2 linked regions of the Rattus norvegicus genome follow. The protein of the gene in region 1 purifies or fractionates together with the protein of each later gene. This does not show direct contact. Links are inferred from orthologs where the notes say so. Each region holds a gene or a part of one and is shown on either strand. Other genes may lie near its edges.

Region 1 (6,166 bases):
CCTAGTTTTTAAATTAATTTTTCTGAGACTGGGTCTTGCTACATAGTAGGGGTGGGCTGGCCTTGAGCTCCTAGTAACCTTAAATTTAAGATTCTGGAATGCTGGGCCACTATACCAGGCCCTGTGCTTTGCCATCCTTTGAAAGTCAGCAATCCACTTGAATTACATTCACCATCATCCCAGTGTATGGCTCTGGCAGTTCTTGTCTGATTTAGTGATGCTTAATGTTTGGTTTAGGACCTTGGACCAAAATATGTGCATATTTTACATATCAAAGCAGACCTGGCCTTCAGGTTCTCCCAGTATCCCTTTGTCCCTACCCGATATACCTTGCCCCAATCTTGAACTTTCCAGCTCCTTCCCCCAGAGGCTCTTGCATATACAATCCAGACATTTTGGCCTCCTTGCCTTCTTTCTTTGCTCCTGCGTCCTTTCTTCCCCGATCCCCATAGTGATTTTCCAGGCCTCGGTGCTGGCAGCCAGTGAAGTCACTTGAGAGCAGCTTCCCAATAAACCCGTCTTTAATATATCCTCATCTGGCTGGAATTGGTTCACTTCAGGCAGAGATGTAACCTATTGCTTAACTACTCCCTTCTTGGAGGACTTTTCCAAAGTCTCAACCTATTCCGATAATTTGTCCCTGCTCTTCTTTTTTTTTTTTTTTTTTTTTTTGTTGTTGTTGTTGTTGTTGTTCTTTTTTTCGGAGCTGGGGACCGAACCCAGGGCCTTGCACTTCCTAGGTAACCGCTCTACCACTGAGCTAAATCCCCAGCCCCAGTCCCTGCTCTTCTGATCACAACTTGTACCACTCTCCCTTCGCTATTAAGTCAATCAGACTACAGTGCCTGTGGTCATTCCTGAGGGGTCCATTTAGGGCTTCGGCTTCTAAAAGAAACTCCCCTTTGTTTACCACACAGCTTCAATATCCTGAACACCATCTTGTGTACAGAAGGTAACAAATGTCAATTAATACAATATAGTACTTGTTGAATAAAATAAAGCAAAAGTTGAAGAGTCAGAAATAACTCTGTAGGTATCCGATGGCCAGTCATGTAGGTTCACAGCAGAGACCATCAGGTAAAGTAAATAAGTCTTAATTCCCAAAATGTGAACAATCTGGACTTATCAGAAGAACATAGTGGTTTATACACAATGATGGGTACAGAACCCAAGAAGCCATAGTTTGGAATTTGCAATAGAAATTCCTGGAAAGATGGATTGCTTATATGTATGAATAAATAAATGAAAAGAATAAATAAAAGACAATCTAAGAGAGAGAGAGAGAGAGAGAGAGAGAGAGAGAGAGAGAGAGAAGAAGAAGAAGAAGAAGAAGAAGAGGAGGAGGAGGAGGAGGAGGAGGAGGAGGAGGAGGAGGAGGAGCCAGAACGATGGCTCATTGGTTAAGAGTGCCTACTGCTCTTGCAGAAGACCCAGGACTCAGCACCCCACCCCACCCGACTCTCGCCCACTCTCCTCCTCCCATCTCACATGTCAGTCAGAAACTCCAGTTCCAGGGTGGTGTACAACTTACACCCAGGAACAAACACATAGAATTTTTTTTAAGTCCATGAAGGGTTTTAAACATAGTGAATAAGTGGTTATAACTTGCTTTGAAAGTACAGCAGGCAGTGTTAGTGGAAAAACTGTAAAACAGGAAGTGAAGGGTCTAATGATTCCTCCCTAAATTCATGGATTAAGCAAACTACAGAAACGGCCATTTGCTGTAACAGGTAAGACTGAAGGAAAAGTTTTGGCTAGACCACGGACAAGGCAGTTTGGTGCCCATCACAGGGCAGAAACGTCCACATACTGTACACGTGCAGAGGGACAGAAGAACAATTGGATGCAGACCGATCAATAGCTGAGGCGCCCGTCAGCTGGAAGAGGTGAGCAGTAGGACGGCAGTAAGCAGGCTCGGCCGGGCGGGCCTGGCTCCCCTACCGCTGAGAGTGGCTTGCCCTTCTTCCCCGCTCAGTTTTCCCGAGACGTCTACAGCCAGACGGCAAAAGCGAGAACACGTACCCGCAATACCTAGGCCTTTCCTGGGTCTCCCTTCTCCAACTTGGCGCTGCTCCCCGCCCTGGAGCCCACGCCCCCCCCCCGGCTCGCGCGTGCGTAGAAAGTCCCTGAAACGTCACCTATCTCCGGAAGTCTCCAAAGTCGTCGGCGCAGGGGCCGCCGGGAAAATACTGCTGGGCCTGTGCAAAGCTGAGGCGGGATCGTTGCAGCCCGGATAATTTAGCTCGCCGTCCGGAAGGTCCCAGAGTGGAAAGCCGGAGGAGGCGGCTGAGCTTGGACTTGCAGACGCCGGCCTTCCACCGCGAAACCCATCCGGTGCCTCTCCGCTCGCGCTTCCGGCAGGCGTCGTGAGCGAGTGCGCCTGCGCGCCGCTCAGTCCGCGCGCCTCGCCACTGACCGCGCACCGGCCGGCCGGCAGCCCGACGGTTCTGGTGTTGCAGGCGACCCGCAACTCAGATCCGCTGCGCATCAGCAAGCAGCATGTCGCGGAGGCGGCACAGCTACGAGAACGATGGTGAGTGCTCTGGGCCTGGCCACCGCACCCAGGTGAGAGTTGAGAGGCCGGACTGCCCTCGGTCTCTAGGGAACAAATAGGAGTCCTTTCTCCCCGGGAGGGTTCGAGGAGCCCCGAAGGGAGGCGACTGGCTCGGGTGTGGATAGTGGCTTCAGGAAAGCGACGGCCTCCCTGCTGCCCCATCTCCTTCAGTCACGGGGAAGGAAGGCCTGGTGTACCCCGTGGGCAAACCCGACCTGGAGTCCGGCGACACTGAAGACTTAATCCCTCACTACTGATCGTGGAAACGCACGTGTCTGCTGCTGCCCCTTAGGGTCAGTTAGTGGCGGGGATCTAGTGGACCAGTGTTTTCATTTTAACCCTCCAGGGTGCACTTGGAAAGGACCCTGGGAAGACGGGAAAAGAACAAAGCTATGACAGAGATCGGATGTATTGCAATCTGAACCCTACCCCTCTACCTGCCACCTTCTGATTTCCCTCTTAGGCTTCAGGGAAAGAATACCAACACCTCAGAGGTCACTAATAAACAGACACATGCTGTTTTGCTGGATTGACTTTAAGCCTATTTCCCTGTGTAAGAAAGTGCAGGAGAACTAACCTGAGCATATTAGTAATTCTCATGTCAGTTTTGATAGTCGCGGGCAAGGAGGTTGTCGTGTTGCCATAAATTTTGTTGCCAAGCTCAATTTTGCACCATTATTGCCTCTCAAGGACACAGCCATACCCAGAAGTGAAACTTGGAGCTGTTGATATTAGTGAATTCCTCTTTGAAATGTATGTTAGATCCAAATGATCAAGACAAGAAAAAACTTTAGAACCCAAGGGTTTAGGTTCAAAGCTCGACATCTGCTATTTACTATGTGATCTTGTCATGGTCATATGCCCTCCAATACTAAGCCTTTTGATTTCTACGAGGACTAAATGAGATACTGTGCTCACCAGTAAGTAGTTCATGATGCTGTTTGTTTTACCAACTGTCAATGTCTCAAAGGTGATACAGATAAATGTTGACGTCATTAAGAAAAAAGCCGCCCCCCCCCTCCAAATTAATTGGGTAGCTTCCTTCCTTGGAATGTTAAGACAACCAAGTAGAATCACACATAGTTTTAAAGTGGACCACCAGGTTTTTGCTAGGCAGTACCTGAGAGAATGCCCTGATACATCAGAGCAAGTCGGAACTCCCACCACATCAGCATAGCTGCTCTGCTTGCCTGATTTTGTTTTTGTATTTAACATGATGGCTTCTTATGTAATTCATGTACAGAGCACAGGGAATACAGCTTTTCTCTGCTTTGTATCTGACTACTGAACTAATCTGCTTGGGATCAGAGAATTTGTCCTTGGTCTTCATCCTAGTTCTTTCCATTCTCTTGTCTCCATTTTTTCTCTCACTTCCAGGTTACCCCTAAAGTGAGGGTGTCACTGGAGAATTAGAATATGAATATATAGAAAACCTCTTATGGCTTGCTTAGAAGGCTTGCAAATTTTGGTTGTGTTGGCTTTTTTTTACCAGCTAGCGGCTGAATCATTTTTTCAGTTGGGTCTGGGTACAGAAACCTTAGAGAGTAGATAGAACAAAGTGACATACAATTAAGCATTTGTTAATCGAAATTCAGTATAGCAAATCATTTAGTGGTAGAGAGGCTGTTTATAGTTCCTCCAATTGTAGACATATGGAGATATACTTTATTTAGAGTTAAATAATCAGTTTAGTGAGCTAAATAAAAAATAATTGGGCTGCTTTTTAGTGAAGTGTCTGCAGTTCATATATATATATAGACAACTTTTTTAGAGGTGGCTAGGAATTTTAAAGAAATCAAAGTTAACCAGACCTAAGCATTTCTGGTTATTGTCAACTCTACTCTGATGTTCCTTATGCTGGGCTGTGTATAGTCGGCCTTCTGCATCTTCATTCTCTCTATCCTTGAATTCTGCAATGTGGTTCCAAAATACTTGAAAGGTGTCAGTACTGAACCTGTAGTTAGTTAATTTTTTTCCTTGTTATTTCCTAAATGATATAATGTCACAACTATGTATATAACACTTGTATTATATGATAAGGAATGTAGAGATAATGTAAAGTATCACAGTATACATAGATCATGGGCAAATACCAACACTATTTTATATAAGGGACTTGAGCATCATTCAATTTTGGTATCTGAGTTGGAGCCCTGTTGATACCAAAAACAGCTGTATAATCTAATCAGGACTTACTAAACAATTTCCTAGCTTCTGTACTTGCAGTACAGTAGTAGGCAGTAAAACAGTGGAGGTTCCCCCTCCTGTATTAAGACAAAATCCACAACAGTATAGTGTAAGTCATTATATGGTCATGAGGCTGTGGAGAATAAAGTGAGGTAAAGGGTACAGAGACCAAAGTGAGAGAGAAGCTGGTCAGGTAAGTTCGACTTGCAGATTACAGTGATGTAAGGATAGGCCATGTGGATGTTTGGAGAAAGCAGAGGTCCAAAGGAAACCACGAGTTAAAGTTAGAGCATTTCTGTCATGTTTAGAGAACAGATAGCAAAGAGGTCACTGTTGCTAAAAGAGAGAAAATAAGGGTAGAAGTTATGAGGCTCATACCTTACTGGACCACTTTCAACATTTCTGTTAGGACTATACTATTGGGGATTCACAGAGATATTACAAGGTAGCTAGTCAAGAAATTCCTGTCATTTAGAAACACAGACAGAGGTATTGTAAATGGAAAGTACCAAATCTAACTCAGTCTTAGACTCTCTGTTTATTTTTGAGACAGGGTCTCTGTGGCTGTCTAGAACTATGCCATTCAGGCTGGAACTACTATGTCCTGGCTATGTGATCCCACTGACCCCCCTTCCCCCAAGGGAAATATCATGTCTGGCAGTCTTAGATTCCTTAACAGTATCTCTGAACCTCTCCAGTTAACGTTGGATATACATTTTATCAGTGTTAAGTATACTGTCTTATTAAGAAGTTTTTGGATTATTCAAAGTCAAAATCCAGATAGCCTATTCTTTCTTCTTCTACTTAGGTCTTTATATTTTACTGTGACTGATGTTTTTAAACTTAACTGTATAAAAAGTTTGTTCTACTTAGGGACAGTATACTTTGTTTCAGAGGTGATATTTTTAGTCATTTTAAATTGTTTTAAGTTTGTAGAGTCAAAGTTACTTTTTTCTTTTACGGTGTGTTTGTCTACTTTGTTGATCCAAATTACACATCTGATTCTAATAAGGGTATAGGAAATAGTACAATGTATCCTTGTGACATTAGGTTCCTGTTGCAGGGAGAAAATTATTTGGTGTCTTGCTTGTTTGTTAGTTTGTTGTGTTCTCTTGTCTGTTTTCCACCCATCCACCTCCGCTGGTTTCTCTGTGTAGCCCTGACTGTTGTGGAACTGGCTGTGTTGACCATGCTGGCTTCAAACTCAAGAGATTTGCATGCCTCTGCTGCCAAAGTGCTGGGAGTAAAGGCATGTGCACCACAAAAGGCGTGGCTATAATTTGGAGTTTACGAGCCTTTAGAGTGGGTGGTTAATAACATAAATAAAGGTCTCTTTTCTGCACTAGGTGTATGTAGCAATATGTAACTTTGACATACGTTGTAAAACTTACATAGCAATGTTTTAAAGCCTTTTCTGGAATATGG
Region 2 (6,357 bases), about 86 Mb from region 1:
CTACATGGAACCCCGCTTCAAAACACCAACAAAAACTCACTCGTCAATAATAGAACTAATTTTAAATTACTAGTCAATAAATCACTTTCTCTTCTACTCTGGTTTTATGATATTCAAAGATATTATCTTTCTTCATGACCAAATGAGTAGGCCTGAATTTTTTTCCCCTGAAGCTTGTAATGCCTTCAATGTTCTGACAAACATTTACTTCTATCAAATATCTTCCTTAGTATTCAAGAAATATTCAGGGCTGCAGACATTGCTCAGTGGTTAAGAACCCTGACTCTGCTTCCAGAGGACCTAAATTTGGTTCCTAGAACCCCAATTTGATGGCTTACAACCTTATGTCAGTTCAGTTCCAGGGGACCCAACACCTTTTTCTGGCTTCTGGGGGCAGCTGTACACATATGACATACAAAACACATACAAATAAGTACAAATAAAGTAAGATGAAAGACAGATTAAGGCAAGCAATGTGACAGGCACCTGTAATTCAATTCTGAGGAGACGGAGGCAGAAGGACCGTACCAGCATGCCATGCAGCAAACACCTTATCTTAATCAAAAGCAAAAATAAAGCGTCTATTTGTCTCATGTGTGTCAGGGGACCTGGGGGGGGGGGAGAATCAGGCTTTTTTGGAAGAACTTGGACCTAAGAATGCAGGAAGGTCTCAAGGCGGAGAAAAGCACCAACTTTTCAGCACCAGGGACAGAGCCACGGGCGCCCTCAGCACCCTGGACAGAGCAAGTGGTCGTGCCTGCCGGGGAAATCCAACCAAGCTAGAGTCTGACCAAGAGAAGCCTGAATGCTCACCTCGTCTTTCTTCTTCCCTTCAGAAGACCTCAACCACCAACTTATGAACTTCAAGAGCAACTGTATAAGGAACAGTAAAGGCGTTACTTAACGGGACCGGGTTCTGTAAGTGAAATGACTCTGGTTGACACACTCAGACGACTCCAAAAAGACCTAACAGTCCCTAGCTGAGAATAGGACACTGTTAGTGATACTTTAGTTTTTCGACTAAGTAGCACAAGGCTACTTACTGTCATCCTTTCCATCCTCCAAAGCTCTATCTCGGAATTTTTACGCTCATCAAAGCGGTTCGTAGAAAAGAGGAGGAAAATATTCCTCATGGTCCGTCTACCCATCGTCCGTTTCCCTAGCCATCATCTTTTTTCCTCTTTCTTAGATAGGCATTTGCTCATGAACGTGCACTTACACATGCACAACTGCAGCGTGTGGACCACAAGAGATTCTACACACTTGTGGAGAAGACTGAATTCAGGATAAGCTGATGCCTCTGAAAGCAGGCTCTGTCCCTTTAAATGGGTTGTAGCTGTGGGGGAGGGGAACTGACCGGAGCTGGCATTGTCCAGTTTGAACTGAGCACCGGAAGTGAAGGGGCAGGGCCAGGGCCGTGCACTGAGCCCCGGGCCATTGTCCATCTCTGACCAGGGCAGTGGCCACCCCTCTGGTCCACCCTCTTTATCTTCTAGTAGGGAGTTTACCTCTTCAAATGAGAAGCTTCCCTATTCACTCTTTGCACACCAGTCTACCCCGGAGGGTAGAGCAATTTAGGATGGTGACTGAGAACAGGAGGGACTGGGAATCAGAATGTCCCGGGTCCTGGAGGAAGTGCCTCCACCCACCAATCTATTCTCTGCCACCAACGGATGGGACAGGACGGGACTCGGCAGGCAGGGGCCCGATGAGAATGCAGCTAGCAAAGAGGGCACTCTTCAGGTTTCCACATGCTCTCCCAGGAAGCTCTACCTTGAACCAACTTTAGGTGTAGGCTTAGGAGGGAGCAAAGGACTCTTCACACAGAATCAATTAGGAGTTTGTTTCTGAATGGGACAAACCCAGAGAAAGTGATGTTGAAATTTGGAGATGGAGACATCCAGTTGCAGCCAGAAACAGGCCGAGTTTGAGAGGCAGCACCTGGGTTAAGACAGATCAGCTCTGTGGGGGCTCCAGCCGCTTCCCTGCACCCCTATCCCGGCTTCCTAGTGTCCAGAGCTCCAGGTCTATCTAAGCACACGGAGGTGGGGGGTGAGAGCAGGTCAGCGCCAAGCAGCCGGGTCAGCTCCGAGGCCTGAGGGGAAAGAGGGGGAGGGGCGCTGAGGGGCTGGGGGAGGGGGAGGGGGAGGGCTCATCCATTTTTCCCTTGACAGGTGGTTTGTGTTTCTGATTGGACAGCGCCACCAGGCTCACACCTCCCTCCCCCAACTCTCTGGAATGTATAATTATCTGCCCGGGGGGTGGGGTTGGTGTGTGTGTGTGTGTGTGTGTGTGTGTGTGTGTATATATGTGTGTGTGTGTGTGTGTGTGGTCACGTGGTTATAAAATTACCCCCCCCTCGGTCCCCCACCTGTGTCCGCTTTAGATACCCGCATTGAGTCCTCAAAGTGCAGGATCCCAAATTCTGGGGTACTGAAGACTTCTGGGGCAAAAGATCCCCATCTCCAGATGTGTGTATGTGGAGGGGGTGTCAAATCTCAAGGTTCTGGGAAGGGACACCCCAGAGGTGTCAGAGACCAGAGCAGTGGGGGAGGGCCGAAGCCAGAGCCAGAGGGAAAGGGAGGGGTAAGGAGAGAGGGGAGGGGAGGGGGCTGCCCGTGGGGGGTTGGGTCATTGTCTTTTAGAATTTGGGAGCCTTTGAAAAGCCGTGGGCCCTCCCACCGCTATTGTGCAGGGGAAGATGTAGCAGCCTCTTCTCCGAACCACCCCTTTGCCTCCGGACTTCTCTGGGGCCAGCAGCCGCCCGACCTGGGGCCCGGGGCCACGGGCTCAGCCGACGACCATGGGCTCGGTGTCCAACCAGCAGTTTGCAGGTTCGAGCTTGCGATTCAGCGGGCACACCTTAGGGTGCAGGGCGCCCAGTAGCTAAATAGAAGGGAGGTGGGAAAGTGTCCCACGGACTTGCCCGCGGGACCCCAAGTCCCCGTGGCCTCCTGCTTCTTGGGGCCATCTCTGGACTAGGGGAACCCTGGTGTTCCAGTGGCTTGTACGCGGAGCCCGTAGGGGCGGAGGGAGAGAAGAGGAGGGGCCTGTCCCGCCGCGTGTGCACGGGCAACTTGTTGTGGGAAGACAAGCAAAACTTTCGGGGCGTTAGCATCCTCGGTGTAAGCTTGGGGAGGCAGCTAGGACAGGTTTCTTCTTACCAGCCGCTTGGTAGCTGCTTCCTCCTGGGTGTCTATCCGCGGGCTGACCACCGAGATCTCCCAGACGGGTCCCTGAGAGGGCCTGCGATTCCTTGGTCCCCAGCTGATCACCTGGCCCTCCCTATCTCCAGGTGGCTGCGCCAAGGCAGCGGAGAAGGCGCCAGAAGAGGCGCCGGCTGACGCGGCCCGAGCGGCAGACGAGCCGCAGCTGCTGCACGGGGCCGGCATCTGTAAGTGGTTCAACGTGCGCATGGGGTTCGGCTTCCTGTCTATGACCGCCCGTGCCGGGGTCGCGCTCGACCCCCCGGTGGACGTCTTTGTGCACCAGGTGAGACTGATTCTGGAACTTTGCTAGGAAAAAAAAAAGACTGGGAGTTCCTATGTATGGGCTTGGCTGGTGGCCCCTCCTGTCCGATTGGAGGAGATAAAGGACCCTTATTGTGCGTCCCTGTCTTTTCCGGGGCACCCCAATTTTGAGTTTGTAGTAAGTGCGGTGGTGCAAGGAGGAGGCACTACTACCAGCACCCCCTCCCCGCCCCCTTCCGGGAACCCCTCCGGCTTACCACGTGTCTATTACCTCTTTCCCCTGGGAAGGGAGCAGGGGGCAGGGAGGTGACCCCATGTGGCAGAAACTAAGGTTGTATTGTGCTTGCCGGTGGGGGAGGGCGAGCAGGCTGACCAGGGAAGCACATGCAGGGCCTGAGCCGGGTGCTAGCGCCCTGAGTTCTGAATTTCTGAATCTAGTTTACAGGGAGAGTGAGCAATTTGCCACCTACCTACGGGCATGAACCTGCGACGTCAGGCTCTTCCCGTTTGAATACGGACCTCAGTCAGGTGGCCACCCAAAAGCCAGGTCCTGTGGCCAGTGTAGGTTTGGCAGATCCCGGAAGGATCAATGTGTAAGCTAAAAAGCTCCCCTAGAGGTCTGGTTGCAGATCAGGACTGGCAGGCACCTCTGGCTGTCCACCGGATCCTGCCAGGAAGGAAGAAGACCTTAAGAGCCTAGGCCTTCATTCCTGGCTGTGGCAATCCCAAGTTCTCAGTTAAAGAAGGGCAACGCGGTAGGGAGTGAAATTCAGTGTCGAGGGGGAAGGCGGTGGAGAGAGGACTGGCCTCTGGCCCTATTCTCCTCAGCTTGGCATTTATGGCCCCAGACAGCCATTGATTGCTGTCCCTAACATTCCTAACCCTAAACAAGGAAGGGAGTAGAGCCTTCAGGTTTCCCTCTTCCTGGCCATTCTCTTTCTTAATACCCTACGGGTGGTTCCAGTGCTGCCATTCCGCGGTGGAAAGGGAGTTCCTGCTCCGGCCCTTTCCACATTTGGTGGGTTAAGGCTGGACCAGGAAAGAAGTAATTGCTAATCCCTGGCCCAGGAGCTTGACACCCGGGCCGGGCAGGGAGGGGTTACTTCAGGGAGGTTAGCTTTAGGAGCTGTGGGGGAGGGGAAAGGAGGATGTGGGGATTAAGAGTTGGAGCCTGAGGGATGGCGTTCTTGAGGGGGAGGGGTGGAGAAGGAGATGCTGGGTGGACTGTTTAGGGGCTGCTGGGTAGGCTGAACTCGGCCCTTTAGTCAGGAGGTTGAGTGCAAACTAAATAGATTTGGGTTGAAGGGATTTGAGGACCAGCTCTTTGCTGTTGGTGTCCTAGGGTCACTGGGCCTTTGGAATATGTGCTTTCTTCCCGGACCTGTAGCAGTGCCCTTAACTTTTCTGCAACCCCCACCCCAATCACTACCACCAGACTGCTGGTTTCTGGATGGTGGCTTTGTACCCCCCAATCTTATTTGCATATGTGAATGATAACCCACAGGAAGTAATTGTGAGACTGGGAATTGGCCTCTTTAGATCTATTAAATCACTTTATTACAGGAACCGGCTCTGACCGGCCCTCCTCAGCGGGTGGCAAGCCTCCCCCCCACCCCCCCATTGGTTCATTTATCTGATCACAGAGATTAAAATATTTCCTGGTCTAGAGATGAGCTGGGGTATTTCTTCAATTTTGGGAGGCTGGGTATGAAGGAGGTTCCAGACTTTCTTGACTCCTTGCGGAGGTTAAGTGGGGAGGAACTGGGGAGAATGTCCCTTCTGATCGGAGGTTCACTGGTGTTGGGACAAATGGAGAAGCTGTGCCTCCCTTAGGATTCATAGCCACTGGAAAGTTACAGGATATCTCTGGAAGAAAGCAGCAGTCTTCGGTACAGACTAGCTCGGAAACCAGCCCACATTTGTGGATTTTGTGTTTGGTTTTTCTTTTTTTTTTTTTCTTTTTTTTTTTTTTTCTTTTTGAGAAGGGGGTCTCACTGTGTAACTGTGGCTGGCTTGGAATTTGCCCTGTCACCCAGGCTGGCCTTTAACTCGAGAGAGCTGCCTGCTTCTTTCTGCCTTCTGGATGTTGGGATTAAAGGCCTATACCAAGGTTCTTGGCTGGCAGCCATATTTCAAGAACTCAGTTACCTCTCTGCTCTCTAAACACTGTGACTGGTGTTTTACCATAACTTGCCTGGCCCACACCGTAGCAGTAAACTCGGTTGTTGAGCTGAGGTATCTCTTCAGGAGGAATGTGGTAGATACAGGTTAATCTCAAAAACTTGTTTACTTTGGAAGGGGGGAGCGTAGAGAGCGTAAGAAATCTCGAGTGGAACTTCTTCAGCTCCTGGACCCTAGTGATGGGGTAGGATTGCATTGGGGTGGGGGGAGGATATTGTCTCAAGATTTTGCCATGCCAGGGAGAGGGAGGGGTCAAGAAAGACCTTTGCAACATGGAGGTAATACAGAAACCACTCTCCTTGTGCTGATTCATATCCTCTCTTTTTAATATTTTGAGACAGCACCTTACACTGTAGTGCAAGTGTAGTCTGCAAGTCATTGTATAAATAGCCAAGGTGACAGATAGTTGAGTGACACCCTTTTACTTTGGTGTCACCAGTGCCTGACCTGTACACACTTCATTCTGTTCCCAGTAAGGAGTAGGCTGGGGATGAGGGGCTATGAAACAGGCTTCTCTTTTTTTTTTTTTTTTTTTTGGGTTCTTTTTTTTTTTTTCCGGAGCTGGGGACCGAACCCAGGGCCTTGCGCTTCCTAGGTAAGCGCTCTACCACTGAGCTAAATCCCCAGCCCCTTTTTTGGTTCTTTTTTTTTTGGAGTTGGGGACCGAACCCAGGGCCTTGCGCTTCCTAGGCAAGCGCTCTAACCA

Evidence for each region. The genes of interacting proteins can lie anywhere in the genome.
Region 2: the proteins of Ncbp1 (region 1) and Lin28a purify together in Homo sapiens (affinity purification with mass spectrometry; 3 studies listed by BioGRID and IntAct, with this or other methods). This does not show direct contact. The link is inferred for Rattus norvegicus from reciprocal best matches to the Homo sapiens genes NCBP1 and LIN28A.

Annotation. Positions count from the first base shown.
Region 1 is NC_086023.1:65,209,202-65,215,367, forward strand, and holds the start of Ncbp1 (nuclear cap-binding protein subunit 1), read left to right. Parts: upstream 1-2,430; 5' UTR 2,431-2,499; coding exon 2,500-2,533; intron 2,534-6,166. UniProt on the Homo sapiens protein: Component of the cap-binding complex (CBC), which binds cotranscriptionally to the 5'-cap of pre-mRNAs and is involved in various processes such as pre-mRNA splicing, translation regulation, nonsense-mediated mRNA decay, RNA-mediated gene silencing (RNAi) by microRNAs (miRNAs) and mRNA export.
Region 2 is NC_086023.1:151,524,256-151,530,612, reverse strand, and holds the start of Lin28a (protein lin-28 homolog A), read left to right. Parts: upstream 1-2,728; 5' UTR 2,729-2,803; coding exon 2,804-2,834; intron 2,835-3,295; coding exon 3,296-3,492; intron 3,493-6,357. UniProt on the Homo sapiens protein: RNA-binding protein that inhibits processing of pre-let-7 miRNAs and regulates translation of mRNAs that control developmental timing, pluripotency and metabolism.